Linked DNA regions of Arabidopsis thaliana. The protein of the gene in region 1 interacts with the protein of each later gene in a pairwise test. Each region holds a gene or a part of one and is shown in the gene's direction. Other genes may lie near its edges.

Region 1 (10,846 bases):
CAATACCATGTATGCGGTGTTTCATCTCTCACTTGTCCACTAACTTTTGATTCTCCTTCCAATGCTTTAGCTACCCATAAACCTAGCATGTACATATAAGAATAGTTGAAAAATAACCAATTTGATGCACTAATTTAAATTAGTGTCGATAGATTAAACGACTAAAATCCAAAAGAGATTCTTGTAGAATCAACTCAAAATGTAGATTATAAAAACAAAAGAAAAACAGTCAACTAGTATTTCTACCACGCAATTCAACTAAACCAGAATCAAGTTTGAGCATCAATTATGTTTTGAAAACTAAAGAACATAATAAAAGATTATGTATTTAAATTAAAATGATGGACTCACATGAAAGAGACAACAAAATGGCAAGAAGAACCACTTTCCTCAACACCATTTTCTCCATTTTGATGATACCGGTTCCAAATTTCTTTTACAGTTATTGAATCCAATTATGCAAAAATAAACACACCCAAACATACTTACATATATATATATATATATATCATTTTATATATGTGTATTTTGTTGCCAAGAATAGGAAACTATGTAAGATGAGGTTATTTTTTGCCAAAAACAAATATTTCAGACAAATATTATGATAAAAAATCAAACAAAAATAATTGTAGTAGATAACTATGAAAATAGCATAATTAAAATAAAAATGACTTCTCACAAAGTATTTTGGAATATTTTACTCCTTATTTAACTGTTATGAGACATGTTTGATTATTTTCTTCTATATGGACTTCTAATTTATAAAAAAAAATGCATTAAAAAAGGTTGTAAGTGAAAAGTTTTAAATTAGTCTTGGCAATTTTGGGTCAAGTCGAGAACACAATGTATGTGTTATTATATCTCTACCAATTCGCTGGTAGTGGAATTCACACTACCCACAAAAATGCCATACATCTATAGTCTGATCATTTATAGACCTTCTTAAAATTGGGCTTATATATATGGTGAAAAAGGTGCCGCAATATTAAACCGGTTCTAAAAATTTTATTAATTTTAAAAGATATGAGTGTTTTAATTATTGTTAAACATTTTTACACATTATTCTTATGATTCATTTTAACAAGAAATATTAATTCTTATTGAAGCTACGGCTTAGGAAGACCAAAACTCGTCGTTGGACAAAACTACGGTTTAGCAAAGGCTTTCATGGGCACATAATAAGTTTAAAGGAAAGAATGAATATTAATAGAGAATTCGACCAAAAGAAAACATCCATTTTAGATTCGTTACTAAAGATCAAAGATGATATAATACAACCGAAACTATATGCTATAAACTACTACCCAAAAAAAAAGAACTCTTCGGACTTCTATTTCCTTTTATAAACCAAAGAAAAGGATTTGGTATGTGTCATCTCATGTTGCAGCACTGAGGTTTGCCTGTCAACACCAGCTTATCCCACAAGCAAATCATCTGTCTCGGCGACTGATAATGCGCCGTCAAGTAATTCTCTATGCAACCAAACTGACAAAACCTGAGGCTGTGAATGTAGTCCACCGGTTTTGTACCATTGTTGAATTGTTCTACCCACATTCCCACGCTTACATCTTCCATTTTGAACATCTGTAGTATCAAGAATGAGAAAGAAAGGAAAAGGGTTATATAGATATGCATGGTCGGTTTTAAATTGAGTAGGTAATGGGAAATTCTCATACCCTTAATTTGTGTTTCTCAAACTCTTTCACGATAAAGCGAGATATATCGTTTGATAATATGTATCCGGGGCCATTAGCATAAGGTGGATAGTCTTCCTCTGGCCATTCCTGGCAAAGCAGATAATGTAACATTAACTTTTGAATTCATATGAGAAAAGAACAGATACAAATGATTCTTTAGGCAAAAAGATCATAGCTTTTTACCTCATATGTAACAGACCATTTACCCTGGCGAAGTGGTTTGTGATAATAATTGATGTTGCCAATGTATAGACTTCTATCTGTGGGTGTTTTCTTTGCTTCACTAAGAACCGCATCCACTTGTACAAATGTATCGTCATCACACTTCATGATGAATTTAGCTGCAAGTTGATGAGCCTGCAAAACAGAGAATAGAGAAACTCTTTACCTTATATTGAATAATTGAAAACACAACATCAAGTGTTGAATCTTTGAATCAGCGGGACTCACCCCGTACTCGCAAATTGCAACGGTTTTGAGGACGACAAGGTCATAACTGTCCATGTAAGGGACTATAACTATGTCCCCAAAGAATTCAGCTTCCTTCTTTAGCTCCACATTTACTTCTTTCCTTGAGTGCTGCCCAAATAAACATCTGAGTTTAGCTTGCAATTCGATATGAGAAGCTCTTACATTTTAACCTAGAAGACCAAGATCAGATCACTTGTAAATTAGTCTAAACTTACCAGTGCAACAAAGAACCGAGCCACTACTTTGGAAGATTTAACGAGTTTATGTTGCATCCACGACCTCCTCACAGCCATCCTCTCAGCAAAATGGTTACCAGCAGAAAGGATACCAATGAACATATCAACTTGCTCATCAGGAAGTGATGGGGCTTGCCAATTGCTCGAGAGCTCAAGATGCCTCTGAGGAGAAAAACTAGGATGCGAGGTTGGGAGAGAGCCAGCGAAAACAGAGTGAACATCTATGTCCCCGTTAATGGTTAGACCAGTAGCATCCTCAAGCGTAAATCCCTTCATATATTGCCAAGAAACCACGCACATAGACAACCATCAGTTCACACCAATCACTAATCAAACCACAACATGTTTAAGCCAGGGCAAAACATCACTTACAGTTCGGTATGGAAAGGAAGTGACATGCTTCCCATCGACACTAACATGGTAGCCTTCCAATCCAGCACTAAGAGTAAGCACGAAAAGCTTGTCAACTGTGAATGGAAATGGCCATTCAACAGTTACTTTCTTGCTCCGACCTATTAATCGACTAAGCCACCATGAAGCCGCCTTGCTAGACTCTTCTTCTTTAGATGTAATGCTATCATCCCGAGCCCATTTCTCGCACTTAACCTGACCATCAACTACAACCATTCTTACTAATTAGTATCCCCAACAAAAACACCAAGAAAAACAACAGATGAAAGATAAATGCTTTTGAACATATCTACACTAACCAGTCTCTTCATCATCCCTAGATCTCCATCCTTCACATCTTTGTGCTGAGCCCCATTGCATTCTATAGCAAGTGTTCTGCTCAATCACAGGCTTACCACTCCAATCACCCTTAAGCCTTGGATTCAAGTGGAGTATCCGAGGTGGCTCTTCTCCTTCCACTGCTTTCAAACCCTGAAGCTCCAACTTAAACTGTGAAACCTTCACAGCTTCATCTCCTTCCTTTAACATCGATATCTTAGGGTCCTTCTCCGAATGAGCAGCTCGTGGCTTCCCAACCACTGTAATATGTGACCCAAGAGTTAAACCACATGGAAGCTCCATGATATTCCCACGTTTCAAAAGATCAGACCCGGTTAAGGAAACAGAGAGAGAACACGAGTTTGTCCCATGTTCCTCAATCTTCTTCTTCTTCTCCTTCTCCAAAGCTTTCAACGTTTTCCCAGACTCAAGCTCTTCCCATATCTTTCGACCAACTTCCCAAGCTACCTTAGCAGATTTATGAAGCTCCACAGACCCATCTTTGCTACTCGGGTTAAACGTTTCCGGGTCGAATCTCAAACTAGAAAGGATCCGAGTCCTTCTTCTTAAACCCTGAGCCGGTGATTCCGATTGTGATTCCTGGTAAAGCAGACTCTTTAAAGGTCGAGTCGGAGCTCGTCTCTCTTGTAACTCTCTCTGACTATTGTGCTTCTCGGGTCGGGTTAACGGATCCTGAGATAAAGAACTAAGCCCGGTTTTGAAGACGAAAGGGATTTCGAATGTGATAAGAAGCATGTAGAGTAACCCAACCGCCATTAGTATCTGAACCGATCTCTGCTTGCTTAGAGAAACGAAAATGTCGAATTTCTCTAACCTCTCGAGTTTTGACAACTTGGGCTTCCTCATTCCTAAATTATACGAAGAAAAATCCAAACTTTTTTTTAACTGGAAACAGAAAACCCTAGTGATGATGATCAAAGAGGAACAGAATCTCAAAATTCAAAATTTCAAAAAACAAATAAAAATCAAATCTTGAGAGATTACGATGAACGGAGACAATCAGTAGATTGGTGGGTTACTATAAATTCTGAAAAACCCTTTGAACACGAAGAGAGAAAATTCAAGAACTTTCTATGGAAAAGACAAATCTTTAGTGAGAAAATTCAAAACCCGAAAGAAACGTAAAGTCGAAAATTTAAATCTTTAGAGAGACGTGTAAAATCGTAAGATGAACAGAAACGCGTCAGGAGAATTTGGAGAAGGAAGCAGCAAGGGGAAGAGTTAAAGCTCTCTCCTCTTTCTTAGTTAGTGCTGCTGACGTCTGAATAAACCGCCGTTTTGGTCCATCTCTCTCTCTCTCTTTTTCGAATCTTTTCTTCGCTTTTAAATCTTCTCTTTTTCCTTATTTTATTTAGTTTTCGATTAAAGTTATAGATTCGTTGGATTTATCTTTTCAAATTAAAGTAATTTTATTATTCTAGATGATTATTTCCACCACCAGTAGAATAAAAAGGAAAAACGTTATGTTTTTGTCGAATTTTAATCTTATAATTGAAGTAATAAGATTTTTAAGGTTAAGCAAATCGACCAAAAAAACAAATCGAAAAGGTTGTCTTGATTACACGAGACAGAATGTGAAATTATTAGTTAATTAGTACTATATGATTTATAAATTAAAAAAAAACAATAATAGTAGATGGAATCATATGTATTTGATTGTTTAGTAGATATGATTCTTATTTTGAAATTTAAACTATTATTGATTAATGTCTACTTAGTCGGTGCTAAATCGGCCAACTGTGTCATTCCATCACCAATGAAGTCACATAGTACTCCTATGCTCATGTTTTTATTTTTGACTTTTCTCTCTATTAATTTTCTTAATTTCATGACCAAACTGAAATGAACAGAAGAAATTGATAACAAAAAAATAGTGTTTCTTGTTTTTTTATTAGAGGTATCTTGATGAGTAGAGCAAAAAAGCTTTATGGGAAAAATGGAAAGAGAGGAATTGGGCTTCATGTGTGACACCTTTGCATCCAGGTGTCTTCTCTTTCTACACTTGTCTTTTCCACCTTTTCATTATTTCATCAAAATATAAACATATTCCACTTAATTCGATAATAAAATTAATAATTAAAAAAGTTTTGCAGAAAAACATCAATTTCTAATTTGTTGGTCTTTAAACAATTTTCTTGCTACACATTTAGAGCATTCAATGCTATAGAATTGACTTTTAAAAGTTTTAACTCAGTGAATAGTTTTAGAGCTTTTTTGTTTGTTATATACTGTATTCTTAAAAACGTTTGATATCTCTGTATTCATCATTCAAAAATACAAACTTTTATAATAAACACAACAAATGAAGGTTGAAATCATCGAAACGAAAAATGACACTCTTGGCTCCTTGTATTTTTCCGCAACTACCTTGAACATGTCATCTACCAAAAAGGCTAAAACTACATTGAACATAATAAAACTATAGCTTCTGAATTTTTAAAAATTTAACGTGAAGAACGTTGACATGCAAACAAAAAGACTAAAACACATGTCATCTATCCTTCATATTAGCGTTTTATATATTTAGCTAGAATTTTGGCTTTTGTGATTAAGCATTTAAAATTTAAATATATGGCCCATTGTCACATCCTCGATCGTATCCTACGTACCGGTGTGTGGTTCCCTTCACTTTACACAACTAACTTTCATAAAACATATGACTATGAAGTGGGAGATCTATGTTAAATAAAAAAACACTAATTGGTGAATATTATTGTAAACATAGGCGATCGAGTACTTACTAGGATGGACATATGGTACGAAGATCAAATTTTTAATCCAAACATATACGTTTTTTCCTTAAACACGTCAGAATGAAATTACCAAAGTAACATGATTTGGTTTTGCTAGTATGTATTTTTTTCTAAGAGAGATGCATTGTCCTTTGGTGTATTTAAGTTGTTCACAGTAAAATTACCAAAGTTGTTCACAGTAAAAAATAATTTAATCAAAGGATAACTAAAAGACATAATTGTGAGATTTTTATTTTTTATTTTTGATAGAAATTATTTAGGTTATTGCGCCATAATATATCTTTTCTATTCAATTTTGTTTCTAAACGAAACGAAAATTTTACCATTGTAATATTTTTTTTATAACAGAAACGGCAAAATATTTGATGTAAGCTGTGTAATTAATGAGATTTTCTGAAAGTATTGGTGATAAATCATCTTCCATTGCATACTAGTGGCGCATTATCACTACCCACATCTGTCTTACCTTCTCCGATCTCTCTCTCTATTTGTCCACCTCACACACAACCCTATAAACAAGACAAGACCTCGCAAAGCTCAAACCTTTTCCTTCTTTTTTTCTATCAAGTTCCTCACTTCTCGGATCCGGGTCCTAAATCTGGGTCAACCCTTTTTACGATCATCGGAAATGGACCCTCCACTAGTGAACGATTCCTCCTTCTCTGCAGCTAATCCTTCTTCTTACACTCTCTCCGAGATTTGGCCTTTCCCTGTAAACGACGCCGTTCGCTCTGGTCTCCGTTTAGCTGTTAACTCCGGTCGAGTCTTTACTCGCTCTGAACATTCCGGCAATAAAGACGTCTCCGCGGCTGAGGAATCTACAGTCACCGATCTAACTGCTGGCTGGGGAAGTAGAAAGACTAGAGATTTGAACTCTGAGGATGATTCTTCAAAGATGGTTTCTTCCAGCAGCAGTGGTAATGAATTGGTGAGATTTTGCACTTCAATTTTTGAAAAGTCCTGATTTTTATTTGTTGGGTCTTTTGAATGTTTGAATCTAGATCCTTTAGCTTGGTGGTGATCTAAAAATCAATGAGTCAAAGTTTAAGTCTTTGGTTTAGGGATCAAGGATTAGTTTATAGATTAGATGACTTATCTCCATTGACTTTTTGACTTAAGTTGGATTCAGCTTGAAGACCATTAGTTTGATAGATGTTGGAATGGTCAATGCTTACTTAGTGATCTTAGATTGAGAGTTTGATTTAGGATCTTAAAGCTTTCCATCTGTTTACTTTTTTAATAGAAAGAATCAGGGGATAAGAAAAGAAAACTGTGTGGATCTGAAAGTGGAAATGGAGATGGTTCGATGAGACCTGAAGGCGAAACAAGTTCGGGTGGTGGTGGAAGCAAAGCAACGGAACAGAAGAACAAACCTGAGCCACCAAAGGATTATATTCATGTGAGAGCAAGAAGAGGACAAGCTACTGACCGGCATAGTTTAGCAGAGCGAGTAATTCTTCTGCTAAAATCACCATAAATTTTATCCTCAAAAACTGTTCCTTTTATTAGAATCACAATGTTGTCTTTGACAGGCTAGAAGAGAAAAGATCAGTGAGAAGATGACAGCTCTTCAAGATATAATTCCAGGATGTAATAAGGTACATGTTCTTTTGGTCCCTGCTTGTGAATGATGTTATTATAGCCTAAAAAACATTCAACAAGATATTTCTGTTGATCAGATAATCGGAAAAGCCCTTGTGCTCGATGAGATTATCAATTATATTCAGTCATTGCAGCGGCAAGTTGAGGTAAAAGTCGTTAACACCTCTCTGTTATATGTTACAATTATACATGCCTAAGCATGGAGTTTGGTCTGCAGTTTCTATCAATGAAGCTAGAAGTTGTTAACTCGGGTGCAAGTACTGGTCCGACAATAGGAGTTTTTCCTTCCGGTGATGTAAGTCCCAAATCTAAAAGAACATAGAAAAATCTTATCTTTCTTAATCAAAGCTACTAAATCTAAAAGCTCTTGGTGTGTTGTATCAGCTCGGGACTTTACCGATTGACGTTCATCGAACAATATACGAGCAACAAGAAGCTAATGAAACCCGAGTATCTCAACCGGAGTGGCTCCATATGCAGGTTGATGGGAACTTTAACCGAACCACATAAAAAAGAGTCTTTCTCTGATTGATGGATGTGTTTTGTAGGCAGTAAAAATGAATGCAACCCTTTATTTTTTATCCTATGCGTGTGTATCATTTTGCTGTTATATCATAAGATAGAATATGAGAGTGACCAGAGAGATTAACACTTTATAAAACATTGTTGTATTGTCCTATTATATAACTTGTAACAATTGATTCAGTAACATATGTTGGTCTTAAATCTTGTCCTTTGTATAATCTTTATGTTATGATGAATCAATGATACGTTTTTTTTGTTGTCTTCAATTTATTGCAACAACTGAAAAAAAGTAAACAACTTCTGTCTTCAAAATAAAAGAAGAAGGATTTGACTTTAAGTCAAAGTAATTGTATCTAACGGCTGAGATTCTCTCTTCTTCATCCTCTTTCAGATCAAAATTCGATCTCTATCTCTCTTCCTCACTCAAGTTGAGGGGCGCCAAAAAAAAACCTTTTTGACAAAGAGGGAAAAAAAAAGTTTTTATTTTTATTGTTTTTGTTGGGCGAAATCGATTTGACAAAATCCCGAATTTCAGTTGGGCAAATTCTTCTATTTCTCAATCTGGGTCTTTCTCTCTGGTCGTGATTTGGTGACCGTACGAGCGAATAACGCGTAAAGATTCATAGCTATGGAGCATCAGAACGCGGTCAAAGAAGCCCTAAACGCACTGTATCATCACCCGGATGATACAGTGCGTGTGCACGCTGATCGCTGGCTTCAGAACTTCCAAGGAACTCTCGATGCTTGGCAGGCGAGTTTTTTCTTTTCGATTTCAATTATTTAATCTCGATTTGTTTAGGTTCGATTTGTTCTTCCTTGTTTTGTAGCACTTGTGCTAGAGTTTAATGTTCGATTTTCAGCTACTGTAGACCATATAGGTGCATAAAGTTTCATCCTTTAGTCAATTTGTATTAGTGATTTGCTCTTTAAGGTCATATAGGCTTATGCATAGCAGAAATCTCAAAATTTCAGTACGTCTAAGTTCATTTCTGAGTTACTTTAGACTATATAAGTGCATAAATTTTCATCCTTTAGTCAATTTGTATTAGCGATTCGCTTGTTAAGGTCATATAGGCTTATGCATAGCAGAAATCTCGAATTTTCAGTACATCTAAGTTCAATTGTGCACTTTTTCCTGTAGCTGGTTTGAGAAGTATGTGTAAGGTGTGTGAATAGATTTACCTTGTTAGAGAAACGATTAGCTAGGTTTTATATGAGCTCTTTTCTTTTAGACCCATGATTGTTGTTGCGGAGAAGAGGATTTTTTTTGATGGAGAAGTTCTACAATATTTCTTACTCTGTGCTGTTGTATGTTTTCTAGGTTGCGGATAATTTACTTCATGATTCTTCTAGCAATTTGGAAACTTTGATATTCTGTTCTCAGACCCTTCGAAGCAAGGTAAATGCACCTGAATGTTTCTGTAAATCCTTATTCATTTATCACACAATCTTGGAGCATTCTGGTGACATCTAGTCTGTCTCACTCGAAGGTTCAACGAGATTTTGAAGAACTACCACCTGGGGCTTTTCAGAAGCTACGGCAATCATTAACGGTAATTCTTTGTTCTATTAACTATTTCTTCCAAAGTTGTAGGGTTTCATGAGTTATTCATTAGTATGTCTGTTCCTTTGAGCAATAACATAATAGGAAAACTCAGTTGAACTAGAGTATTCTGGGATCTAGGTTTTACTATGATTTCATCTTTCTGGCCTATTATTCTTGGTATTGGACAATTACTTCCCGGAAAATTTTGACTTTCATTATTTTCTCAAATGCAGACATTGTTAAAAAAGTTCCACAAGGGCCCTCCAAAAGTTAGGACCCAGGTAAGTGCATATGTGGAATTTTCTGTTGTGCGTATAAAGTCATGTACTTTGTGTCGAGTTATCTTATTTAAGTATTTTATATTGTAGATTAGCATTGCTGTTGCTGCCTTGGCGGTGCATGTTCCTGCGGCAGACTGGGGAGATGGTGGTATAATTAGCTGGCTTAGGGATGAGATGCATATGCATCCTGAATATGTGCCTGGTTTCTTGGAACTCTTGACAGTTTTGCCCGAGGTAGAGTATTTTTTATTCCTTTGTTTAAGTGTTCATCTCACTCAGTAATTAATTTGACTTCATGTATCCGGCTATATAGATATGAAAGGCCTTATTTTGGTCTGACTTGGATCTTCTTACTTATTATTTATGCTGGTATTACTGACCTCAAATTGGGTAGACCTATTTGGAGAATATTCTGTTCCTTTTTTACTTTTTCCATATCTATGTTTAGGTAGCATTCGACGTTACTCTGTGAGTGTTATTTCAATCCCTAAAGTATTGGCTGGGCAAGACCTTGATATTTTGTATGGTATTGTTTGCAAAAAATGTTGGTAGTTTATTTGTAACTAAATGAAGATTCTAATTTTTTCACAAATCTCTACCACATCGTTTGACCTTTCCCTTTCATTAACTTGATTCACTTTAGGAATGTTTAGCTTTAATCTAGATGGTTATATGATGTCTTGATCTTATATTGTCCTTCTTGCTATGACCAGGAAACATTTAACTACAAAATAGCTGCTCGTCCGGATCGACGACGTCAATTCGAAAAAGAGCTTACTTCTCAAATGGAAGCTGCACTTAGTATCTTATCAGCATGTTTGAAAATATCCGAACTTAAGGAACAGGTCAGAGCTTATCTTTAATATAGAGTCGTGACATAGTTCAGTACATAGTTTGTTATTCACTTTCCATGATCCCTCTGTATAACACATCAAAATAACCTTCTTCTTTTTATGTTTTCTGATGCATGTCTGTTTTTTTACTT
Region 2 (10,752 bases), about 22 Mb from region 1:
TTTAGATTCCCTACGGACGAGTCTACAATAGACTTGATTTTTGATTGGGCGGTTTTGAGGTTTTGGAATGAGAATGAGATCGCTGAGTGAATGATCTGGATTGGTTTAGGATCCGGAGGAACCCGACCCTGTTCGGATAGGGAAGAGACGCATTGGTCTGGGTAACGAGTTGCGTTACAAGCGAGACGGATCTGAGCGGCGAGAGACGACGAAGGATTGACCGGAGAAGTGTCGCCGGAATTGTGGTGGTGGTGGTGACGGGAGGAGGAGGAGGGAGAGGAGAAGAGGAAGAGAGAGAAGAGAAGGATGAGAATGGAGGACATGGTTATGATTAAGAGACAGAAGCAACGTATTGGGGATTTTCTGCGGTGAGGATGATGATGGAGTTTCGAAGAAGCCATTAGAGACGAATGTGTGTGTATATATATGTATAGGTGTGTGTGTGTGTGGAAATTAATTAAAATTTTGGAAAGAAATAAAATTGAAATAAAAATAAGGAGAGATGGATTACAAGTCACAGACCATTAGAGAGTCACGGGCGGTGCGTAGTGGAACACTATGGGGGGGATCATGCGCGCAGAGACGGAGAGGAGAGAGAGAGATTGGAGTTTTGTGACTGTCCTTTTTCGTAATTACGGTTCTATTAGGGAAGATAAGGAGATTATAATAGATTGTCCGGTTAAGACCCCGGTTATGTATTGGTTTAATGTGTTTAGGTCCGTCTCACGCTATTGATCTTGATTCTTGACTTGCGGTTGGTAATTGTTGTTTTCTTAGTTTTTCTTTTTTTTTCATTTTTCCTAATATCGAATTATTGTTTATTTTGTTTTTGGATTCTTATTTTATACTCCCTCTGTTCCTAAAAGAGTGATGTTTTGGGTTTTTCACACAAAGAAAAGTAATTTTTATATTATTTATATTATTTTCTGTTAATTTAATAATATAAGTCTTATTTCTCTCCTCTCTCTATTGGTTATTAACAAAAATAATAATATTATTAACCTACAACATCAATCTTTATGAAACAAAAATAAAATCTAAAACATCAAATTTCATGGAACAAAGGGAGTATACGATTAATAGTCTAATTTTAGTAAGCAATCGGCTCCAAACACTAATCTGGAGATTAGAATATATGTTGATTTGGTTAGGTTTGGTATTAGCAAACACTATATCACCAGTTTCAAGACTCTTATGTCTATTCTGCAATTACAGATTTTATACATATAAATGTAGTTAAAATTTTGAATTTTTGTTTATAATATACTAAACTTGTAAATTTTAAAATCTAACTTGATTGGAGGTTATATCTTTAGTTAATTTGATAATTACATTTAAATCTCAACGTAAATTATCAAACGTTAAACTAGAAAGAAATCTGAAGGATGTTAGAAATAAACTAGTTTCAACAAAAATAACCTAATTTTTTTGATTTCATAATGAATACCAAATAGGCAATTACATACTAAAATCTCTGAAATCATTTATCTCATAAGTTTTTATATCCAACATGTTTGGTATATGTATATATTTTTGGTCTAAAATAACATAACCAGATGTTTGTAGCGGCCCATATTTTTGGCTCGTATAAGCCCACTAAGATGGATTCTGCACCTTTGCCAATGACCCAATAAAATAACTTAGGGCTTTAAGGTTCCAAACCCACAATTACCATCCTCAGGTAAGTCGGGGGCTCGGGGCCAGGTATGAATTAGTCCAAATCCCCAAGTTTAGACAACCGATTTTGAGAAGAATGTTGTTTTCCTTTACGATTTGGATGTTATATCTTCTCTTGTTTAATGTTTTCTTTTCTTTCTTTTTTTTTTCAAAAAATTTGGTGTTACTAACATATTGACTAATTAATATTATTTATTACAAATCCGTTGTAGTCTAGCTGGTCAGGATACTCGGCTCTCACCCGAGAGACCCGGGTTCGAGTCCCGGCAACGGAGATTTATTTTTACTAATTACAGACAAAATTTACCCAATCCTAGCAGGGAACATGACTGATGTTCCAACTAATTACAGGTTTTTGGTTATATATATGTTTTATTCTGTCCCAATTCTTATACTCTTTGGATTTCAAAAATGTTCGGTTTTACTAGGACTTGTACTGTAATTTAAGACGAGTGGGATCACATGCCTCTAAGTAAAATGTGTTAAATTAATTTAATCTAGTAAAAAAAATCATCTGAAATTGGCTAAATTGTTCTTTACTTGAAAAAAAAAAAAAACTGTTCTTTCACTGTCCCCACTCACGATGATTCAATTACCCTGCATGCTCATAAACCTGAGCTAAGGAATTCCTTTTTATAGAAAAATGCTTATCGTCGAACAAAATGTTGATCAGTGGATGTTGGAAAAAAAAGAATGTTCATTAGTGGATATATTAATCGTTGAATGTTAAAATATTCATCAAAACATATAATTGATTGAGTCTATTTGGTTTTTTGTTAAATGAGTCTACTGTCTACTTCTCGTGTATGTAGCTACAATACGGCATTATGCGTCTATGCATGGATACTGGAAATACGTTTGTACCTGCAATAATCCAAGAAAATGAAAACCCTCGAAGTCAATTTCATATGTGTAATATTCTTCCCCTCAAAAACAAAAGAGAAAGAAAAATAAAGTGAAAAACTCATTAAAGAGTTTTCCATAACACTAACACTTTCGGACCAAACAAGAGACTTCTTCACTTTTCTTCACTGCAGCTTCCCATGCCTTGTAATCACTTTTTTGTAGACTTTTTAGATCCTCTCGCGAAAGAGAAAAAATAAACATGTTTTTTTTTTTTGCTACTCCATTTTAAAAAACTTAGCATCATTACTAATATTATAACACATAATCTACCCTCGTAGTTATAGAAATCAATACAATAACGCATATATATCCTACCTTTTTCGTCTAGCTTTATTTTTCTTAACTTGATATATAGCCAATTTGAAATTTTATTTTTGGATGAATTAAGCCAAGTGGTGAACTGGTGATTACTTATACATTTTCTTTTTTGGTTTGATCATTTTTAATGACCAAACCTAACCGGTGAAATTGGAGTAAGATAAAGTGATATCACTAGATTACAAAGTGTTCAAATTTGGAAAGAAACAACACTGAGTTTTTCTTTGTTTGTTCTTCTCCATGGTGGAAGCAGAAAGAGGAAATCCAAAAAAGAAAGAAAAAGAGAAGTCGCTGTAAGAGACCAGACTCTGAGGAAATGAGGGTGTGGTTCTTTGGGAATCGTAACGCACAAAGACGGAAGATTGTATCGCTATTAATAAAAAGGAGGAAGAAGCACAATTGCTGAAAAAAATAGTTATATATGTATGGCCTATATATATATATAGTTATTTAATGCTTTTTTATGTACGCGATAATTTGGATGAAAATAATGGAGATTGTCAGATTTTATGATTCAATCTTCATCGGAAAATGTTGCATAGTTATTTCACCCACTCACGTGTATATGTACTATATACATTTACACTAGATTCATCTAGTTAGGGTTTACGGTTACACTTTATACACAGACGAAATGGGGGCCGCTTGAGCTGTCACATGTTTAAACCATATCATAATAGATAAGCTAGTGATAATTTGCTTAAAAGAAAACATGATTTAGTAAATCAATTGCATTCAATTTTTGTTTATTACAACTCGGTATACATTTCGAAACATATTATACAAGCTTTATAAACCATTATGATATTTCACATCACAGTTGCAGAAATGTACATACAACCAAAAAGGAAAAAGTAATAATAAAATACTATATGTATTCTAAATGAAATCATAGATTTAAGAAGTAAATTAAATTTATGTGTCTTATATATTCTATTATTTTACATGTTTTTGTGGAAATTTAGAAACTAGCTGTCCAAAATGAATCATTTAACTTTCACATGTATGAAAAATATTAATAGACTTAATTAAAAAACACTCTAAATTTATGATCAGGCAATAAAAAAATTGTTCATTGCTCCAATCCATCCGAATTTGTATTATATAAAATACATGGCAAAATAAAACTTCTTTTAACTAAACTATATTATATTATAAGTCTTGCTCATGACTGTTATATACTTTAATAATATGATCGAATGCTAGCTATTATATTAAATACACAGTTACTCTTTTAATTGCGGTTTTCATTTTAAACCGCTATAAATGCGAAAACTATATAGTGTATACTTATATCGAATCAAATTAATTTCCAAAACTTGTGTGTGTATAAGTAGATGTTCATACATGTAGTTGGCAGTTGGGTGGATTTAATAAGAATATAATATACAGTGAACAATGGATTAATACCAAAGAAGTAACCCTATAATGCATGATTGCAGCCTGCATGCGCAATTTGTATGATTATAATGCAGACCAAATCATAACATATGTGCAAAATATACGCTTATATCTCATATATGTACATATACATGTGTATTTATACATTGCTTTTGTGTTGAGGCATATGACATAAGAAACTTGTCACATTAAATCAGAACCGTCTGATTTTTGTATAAACGGATCGAAACAACGTATATAAATTTGCCTCTTTTGAAGTCTCATAAAATTTCGTGTATTTTACGGATTTGTGTTTGTTTTATACACTTGTATACAAGAACGTTGTTACGTAGATGTGAACTTTGTTAATAAAAAGCAGAAATTGCTTCATGGAAAATGATATATTCACCACCGTCTTATATAAACGAGTCACGACGATGATACACGTCTTTCTTATTAATGACAATCATGGATAACACCCAAATGTTGAAGAAGCTAAGGTGTCCCCATGCGAGTGATTTGATGTTTGTTATCCTTATAAACCTTTAATCACGTCGCAAGTTATAGAATAGCTTTGTGGAAAAAAGCAAGTTGATCATTTGTTTTATAATAATATATAACATTGCGAGTTTCACACACAATTTACATTCAATATTGGACTCCATCGAGGGGAGAGAGAAAATCACGACCGTTGATCGGGATAAGAGTATAGGATCAACAAAATGTGCTATTTCGTGAAGAGACAAGAGAATGAGAGAAAATTTATCAAGATTTCCTATTTTAGTGAATGGGTTTTGTGAAGAGAGAAGGAGATAATTAAAGGGATTGTAAATTGAGAAGTCAGAATAAGAGCACACAAGTGGTGACATCTTTTGTGAATCAAAGAGAAACTCATGTTCATATAAAGTAATTCACATTCTTATAGCTAGTGGTTATTAGTTTATTACTTTGGTGAAAGCCACTTTCTCGATATACCCTAAATTCAAGTCTCAATGTGGGAGAGGGAAACCCTAGCCAACTCAAAACTATCTCATTAGTCAACTGGAGCTGCTCATTAAAAAAAAAAAAAAAAAAGCGATTATGCCAACTATATGTATACAAAAGTGCTACAACGTTTATAAACATTTTCGGAGCATAAAAAAACTTCTTATTCAACTATATACAATTTAATCTTTTTCTTTGGTAACGACTAGTGACGTCCACTTATTGAAAAGATACATATAAATAAAATTATTCTTTATTTTTTCTCCGAACCAAAATCCTTAATTGCATCACCAACCTAACCCCTCATCATATGATCACCTTTCTTTTTTTCCTTTAATATATATATATGCTCACACACACACATATATATATACATATAAGCATCGCCTCAAGCATTAAAATTTTTACGAACCAAACAAACAAAAATTATGAATAATTATAATATGAACCCATCTCTCTTCCAAAATTACACTTGGAACAACATCATCAACAGCAGCAACAACAACAACAAGAATGATGATCATCATCATCAACATAATAATGATCCAATCGGTATGGCCATGGACCAGTACACACAGCTCCATATCTTCAATCCTTTCTCTTCTTCTCATTTCCCTCCTCTCTCTTCTTCCCTCACAACCACCACTCTTCTCTCCGGAGATCAAGAAGACGACGAAGACGAAGAAGAACCTCTAGAGGAACTCGGTGCTATGAAGGAAATGATGTACAAGATCGCAGCCATGCAATCGGTTGACATCGACCCAGCAACCGTCAAGAAACCCAAACGCCGTAACGTGAGGATCTCCGACGACCCTCAGAGTGTGGCGGCTAGACATCGCCGTGAGAGAATCAGTGAGAGGATCAGAATTCTTCAGAGACTCGTGCCAGGTGGCACTAAAATGGATACGGCTTCAATGCTCGATGAAGCTATACGCTATGTCAAGTTCTTGAAACGGCAGATCCGGCTACTCAATAATAATACCGGATATACTCCTCCGCCGCCGCAAGATCAAGCTTCTCAGGCGGTGACGACGTCATGGGTTTCACCGCCACCACCGCCAAGTTTCGGCCGTGGGGGAAGAGGAGTAGGAGAATTAATCTAGACAAGATGACATTTCCATTAGTAGTAACTAAATTATGCTATAATGTGTGAGTAATGGTGCAATTATGGAAAGTGTTTATATATAATAAAAATGGATACGAAATAAGGGTTTGTTAGGATATATAATATATTGTTGTTGACCGTGAAAAGGTTGTGGAATAATCATAACGGTTAGCTTGAGTTGTGTACCACCATATATTTAATATTATGTTATCATTTCGTATATAATAATAAGTTCTTGATTTGGAGTTTGGTTGTATACAAGTTTTGGCCGGGCATTTTTCGGGCATAAGAACCATGACGCCATCAAAGAACCCTATTTAAATAGTGTTATCATTACTGTGGACTTTTGTCTTTGTATACACACAACGCATATATTTGTGAAGTACTATATTTTAGAGCATATAATATGAATGTACTCTATTGCTTCATTTTCATCTTTTTACGTACATACCTCACTTTGAACGTTAATACCTATACATATTGAAAATCGTTTTGTTATGATTAGAATAAGCTTTAAGAATTCCTAAATTACAATAAGCTTTAGGGCTTTTTTTTTAATATATAGCTTCACAACTAGCAACGAAAAATCCAAAAAGAAAAAAGTTGTTATGAAAATAATATCCGTACGTTTAGTCTATTAGATTATACTTGTTAGTATCCGATTAAACATCACCTGAAAACTAAAAAGTCTAACAGACTAAACGTATCCGATTATACTTGTTGTAAAAATGTTAACGAAAAATGTTTAGCTATAGTAACGTTTAGCATAATGAAAATTACGACAATCATCCCATAAAATGATGTTTTGTAATATAAAGTAATCTCAAATTACAACAAACCGATAAGGTATACAGATACTCTACTCCAGAAAGAGAGTATATATCGAGACATATTATAAAGAGGATGGTGCAGAGAAAATGTACTTGCTCGTTTTGTCTTCGAATTAATGAATAGAAGTTCAACTAAAACAGTTGCAAGATCTCTTTTTACCTTCCCAATAATAAAAAGAAAACCTTTGACTACAAACAAGCATTAAACCACCAGAGCTTTGCTCCACACTTGTTGGTCAGAAAATCTCAGAAAAGTAGCAGAGAGGTTAATTCAAGGAAACCTATGCTCCTTGTTCACTTCACTCATGGATACTTCCGCTGACTTTTGTGTCTCCTCACATTCATAGGTTTTAATAAAGACACAATGAAATGTCAGTGAGATTCATGGAAACCTAGCTATATCCATTTTGCTAACGAAATCATTTAATATATTTTCTTTCTTTTTGCCACATAGTTATACATTCATTCACATCCTAGAGATAATTGCAAGAACTTAACGTCTAACCAAATTATTTAGCTCAAACAATGCATTAATAGTCACTAAATAGCCATGGGTATGATTCATATATTTTCAAATCTAATTCGTTTTACTACAGAAATATTTCAATGTGATTCGAGATAATTCTTACATGATCAAACAACTTTCTAATTTTATGAATAAACTGTGATCCCGGTGAAAATGTATGTACTTCACACCATTAAATATCAATATTTTTAACGGCCCATAAATATAGGCCCAATTATGTGAAAAGTTACTAATGGGCCTGATTTATTTCAAGTGTCCGTTTTTCTCTCTCTAGTTCTCTTACTCGTATGAGAAAGAAAGCCCACCCGGGAATCTCCGACCCGACCGAGAAATGGGATCGTCAGCGAATACAGAAACCAACGGCAACGCACCGCCACCGTCGTCGAATCAAAAGCCTCCGGCTACGAACGGCGTTGATGGGTCTCATCCTCCTCCTCCTCCTTTAACTCCTGATCAAGCTATTATAGAGTCGGATCCGTCGAAGAAGAGGAAAATGGGGATGCTTCCTCTAGAAGTGGGTACTCGTGTGATGTGTCGGTGGAGAGACGGGAAACACCATCCGGTGAAAGTAATTGAGCGCCGGCGGATACATAACGGCGGTCAAAATGATTACGAGTATTACGTTCATTACACTGAGTGTATGTCGTTTAATTCCTTATCAAGTTTTGATGTAGGGTTTTCAATTTTGGTTGATTCGTACTGTTGAGCTTCACAAAGGTGGAAATTTAGTCAAGGGTTTATAATGTAGGAAGAAAAAAGAGTTAAATTGCAAGACTTTATCAATTGGATCATTGGAATTGGCTTCAAGTTGTGTGAGATTTTTGAGAAGGAGATCAAATTCTGCATTATACTTTGCTTCTAAAGATTTTGAACCATTTATACTATTGTGATTAAGCTGAGTAATATGATGACAAAGTTGGTGATTTTGAAATCTTATGATCATCAATGTGTTTGATTTTGGTAATTTGTTTTCGAAACTGCAGTTAATAGGAGGCTGGATGAATGGACTCAGCTGGACCAACTGGACCTTGATTCAGTAGAGTGCGCTGTAGATGAAAAAGTGGAAGACAAGGTGCGTTCTCTAGTTTTGTATTGTTAGTTGCATAATGTGGATTTCATGAGTTTTCTCATATACGTTTAGCAATGAGCAGAGATTTATGTCTGTGGTTTCTAGGTAACAAGCTTGAAGATGACACGTCACCAGAAGAGGAAGATCGATGAGACACATATAGAGGTAATGAATGCCAATATAAGGCGGGTCCTGGAAACGTAAGGTTTGTGTTGATTCAGTATTCTGTGTTTCGAAATGTTTTTATAGGGTCATGAAGAGCTGGATGCAGCAAGTTTGCGTGAACATGAAGAGTTCACGAAAGTGAAGAACATATCAACAATTGAGCTTGGAAAATATGAGATTGAGACTTGGTACTTCTCCCCTTTTCCGCCAGAATACAATGACTGTGTGAAGCTCTTTTTTTGTGAGTTTTGCCTGAACTTCATGAAACGCAAAGAGCAGCTTCAAAGGCATATGGTGAGCAACTGTTTTTCTTTATCTTTGAAGTCTTATGATGCTTTTTAATTACATTTCCATTGCGAGCTTCAATAGTCTGGTTTCACATCTGTATTCTATGTTTTTGCATTCCAGTTTCATTGCTGAAGATAGTACCCAACCTTTCAGATTCTGTTGAATATTGTCACTGACTTGCATATCCACATTCACGGTTCATTAAAGTTGCATTTATATGGTTTTATTTTATCTTGTAGCTTTTGTATAATTTCCTTACTTTTTTCCTGCAGAGGAAGTGTGACCTGAAGCACCCACCTGGTGATGAAATTTACCGAAGTGGTACCTTGTCAATGTTTGAGGTAATATCCTGAGATAGGTCTCTGGTCTTCTTGCTCTGGATATGATGTATCGTTAGCTTTCTCTTATGTTTTTTTTTTTCGTATATGGATGCTGATTAGTTTATCTCTCATCTGGTTATGTTCTACATTAGCAGGAACGTTTTTCTCTAACCGTACTCTCATCTTACAGGTAGATGGCAAAAAGAACAAGGTTTATGCACAGAATCTCTGCTACCTGGCAAAGTTATTTCTTGACCACAAAACTCTTTACTACGATGTTGATTTGTTTCTATTCTACGTTCTTTGCGAATGTGATGACCGAGGATGCCACATGGTTGGGTACTTTTCAAAGGTAATATAGCAAAGTAGTTACATATATGTTTGGTTTCCATTTTCCTGTTTGCTCATAAACGTAACTTCTACTGGGTCCAGGAGAAGCATTCGGAAGAAGCATACAACTTAGCTTGCATTCTAACCCTGCCTTCATATCAAAGAAAAGGCTATGGAAAGTTCTTAATAGCCTTTTGTAAGTTCTTTGCCCATTTGACCCTTTTGCTCTTCTCAATCCCATGTCCACAAAAATAAGTAACAGATTGTTCTTCTGAGTTGCAGCCTATGAACTGTCAAAGAAAGAGGGAAAAGTTGGGACACCGGAAAGACCCTTGTCGGATCTAGGCTTACTAAGCTACAGAGGTTATTGGACTCGTGTTCTATTAGAAATCTTGAAAAAACATAAGGGAAACATTTCTATCAAGGTTAGATTGTGTTTCAAACTGATAAAAAGTCTTAGGCTAATCCTGGTTTCTGCGATCTAAGAATCCACTCATCTGTCTCTGTTTCATGTATGATGATGTAGGAGCTGAGCGACGTGACAGCAATCAAAGCGGAAGATATATTAAGCACACTTCAGAGCCTAGAACTGATACAGTACAGGAAAGGACAGCATGTGATCTGTGCGGATCCAAAGGTTCTGGACCGACATCTGAAAGCTGCAGGCCGAGGTGGTCTTGATGTAGATGCTAGCAAACTGATTTGGACACCTTACAAGGACCAGAGTTAAGAGTAAGTACACTCCTCTTGTGCCATTGGATTTGATTTGAGTGTGTAAGTAAAGCGGGCTGTCTTATTCTCCTGAAATGTAAGTGTACTTTACTTGTAAATGTTGAAATCGTACTTGGAATGGT

What was found. Proteins that work in one complex are often made in the same cells at the same time.
Region 2: the proteins of AT5G62610 (region 1) and HEC3 interact in binary tests that used the Arabidopsis thaliana proteins (3 or more experiments, as listed by UniProt).

The regions. Positions count from the first base shown.
Region 1 is NC_003076.8:25,130,290-25,141,135, reverse strand, and holds AT5G62610 (basic helix-loop-helix (bHLH) DNA-binding superfamily protein), read left to right. Parts: upstream 1-5,070; 5' UTR 5,071-5,137; intron 5,138-6,229; exon of another isoform or gene 6,230-6,255; 5' UTR 6,256-6,535; coding exon 6,536-6,835; intron 6,836-7,150; coding exon 7,151-7,357; intron 7,358-7,439; coding exon 7,440-7,505; intron 7,506-7,586; coding exon 7,587-7,655; intron 7,656-7,726; coding exon 7,727-7,804; intron 7,805-7,893; coding exon 7,894-8,019; 3' UTR 8,020-8,288; downstream 8,289-10,846. Other genes in the region: AT5G62623 (Putative membrane lipoprotein), read right to left, coding at 1-82, 352-409; AT5G62620 (Galactosyltransferase family protein), read right to left, coding at 1,372-1,584, 1,677-1,784, 1,881-2,054, 2,148-2,276, 2,384-2,674, 2,777-3,021, 3,115-4,000; MOS14 (ARM repeat superfamily protein), read left to right, coding at 8,663-8,785, 9,356-9,433, 9,525-9,587, 9,814-9,861, 9,949-10,095, 10,575-10,706.
Region 2 is NC_003076.8:3,022,017-3,032,768, reverse strand, and holds HEC3 (basic helix-loop-helix (bHLH) DNA-binding superfamily protein), read left to right. Parts: upstream 1-5,654; 5' UTR 5,655-5,693; coding exon 5,694-6,368; 3' UTR 6,369-6,660; downstream 6,661-10,752. Other genes in the region: AT5G09760 (Plant invertase/pectin methylesterase inhibitor superfamily), read right to left, coding at 1-401; HAM2 (histone acetyltransferase of the MYST family 2), read left to right, coding at 8,058-8,364, 8,710-8,798, 8,901-8,960, 9,045-9,254, 9,521-9,589, 9,759-9,920, 10,001-10,094, 10,181-10,323 and 1 more. UniProt on the Arabidopsis thaliana protein: Required for the female reproductive tract development and fertility.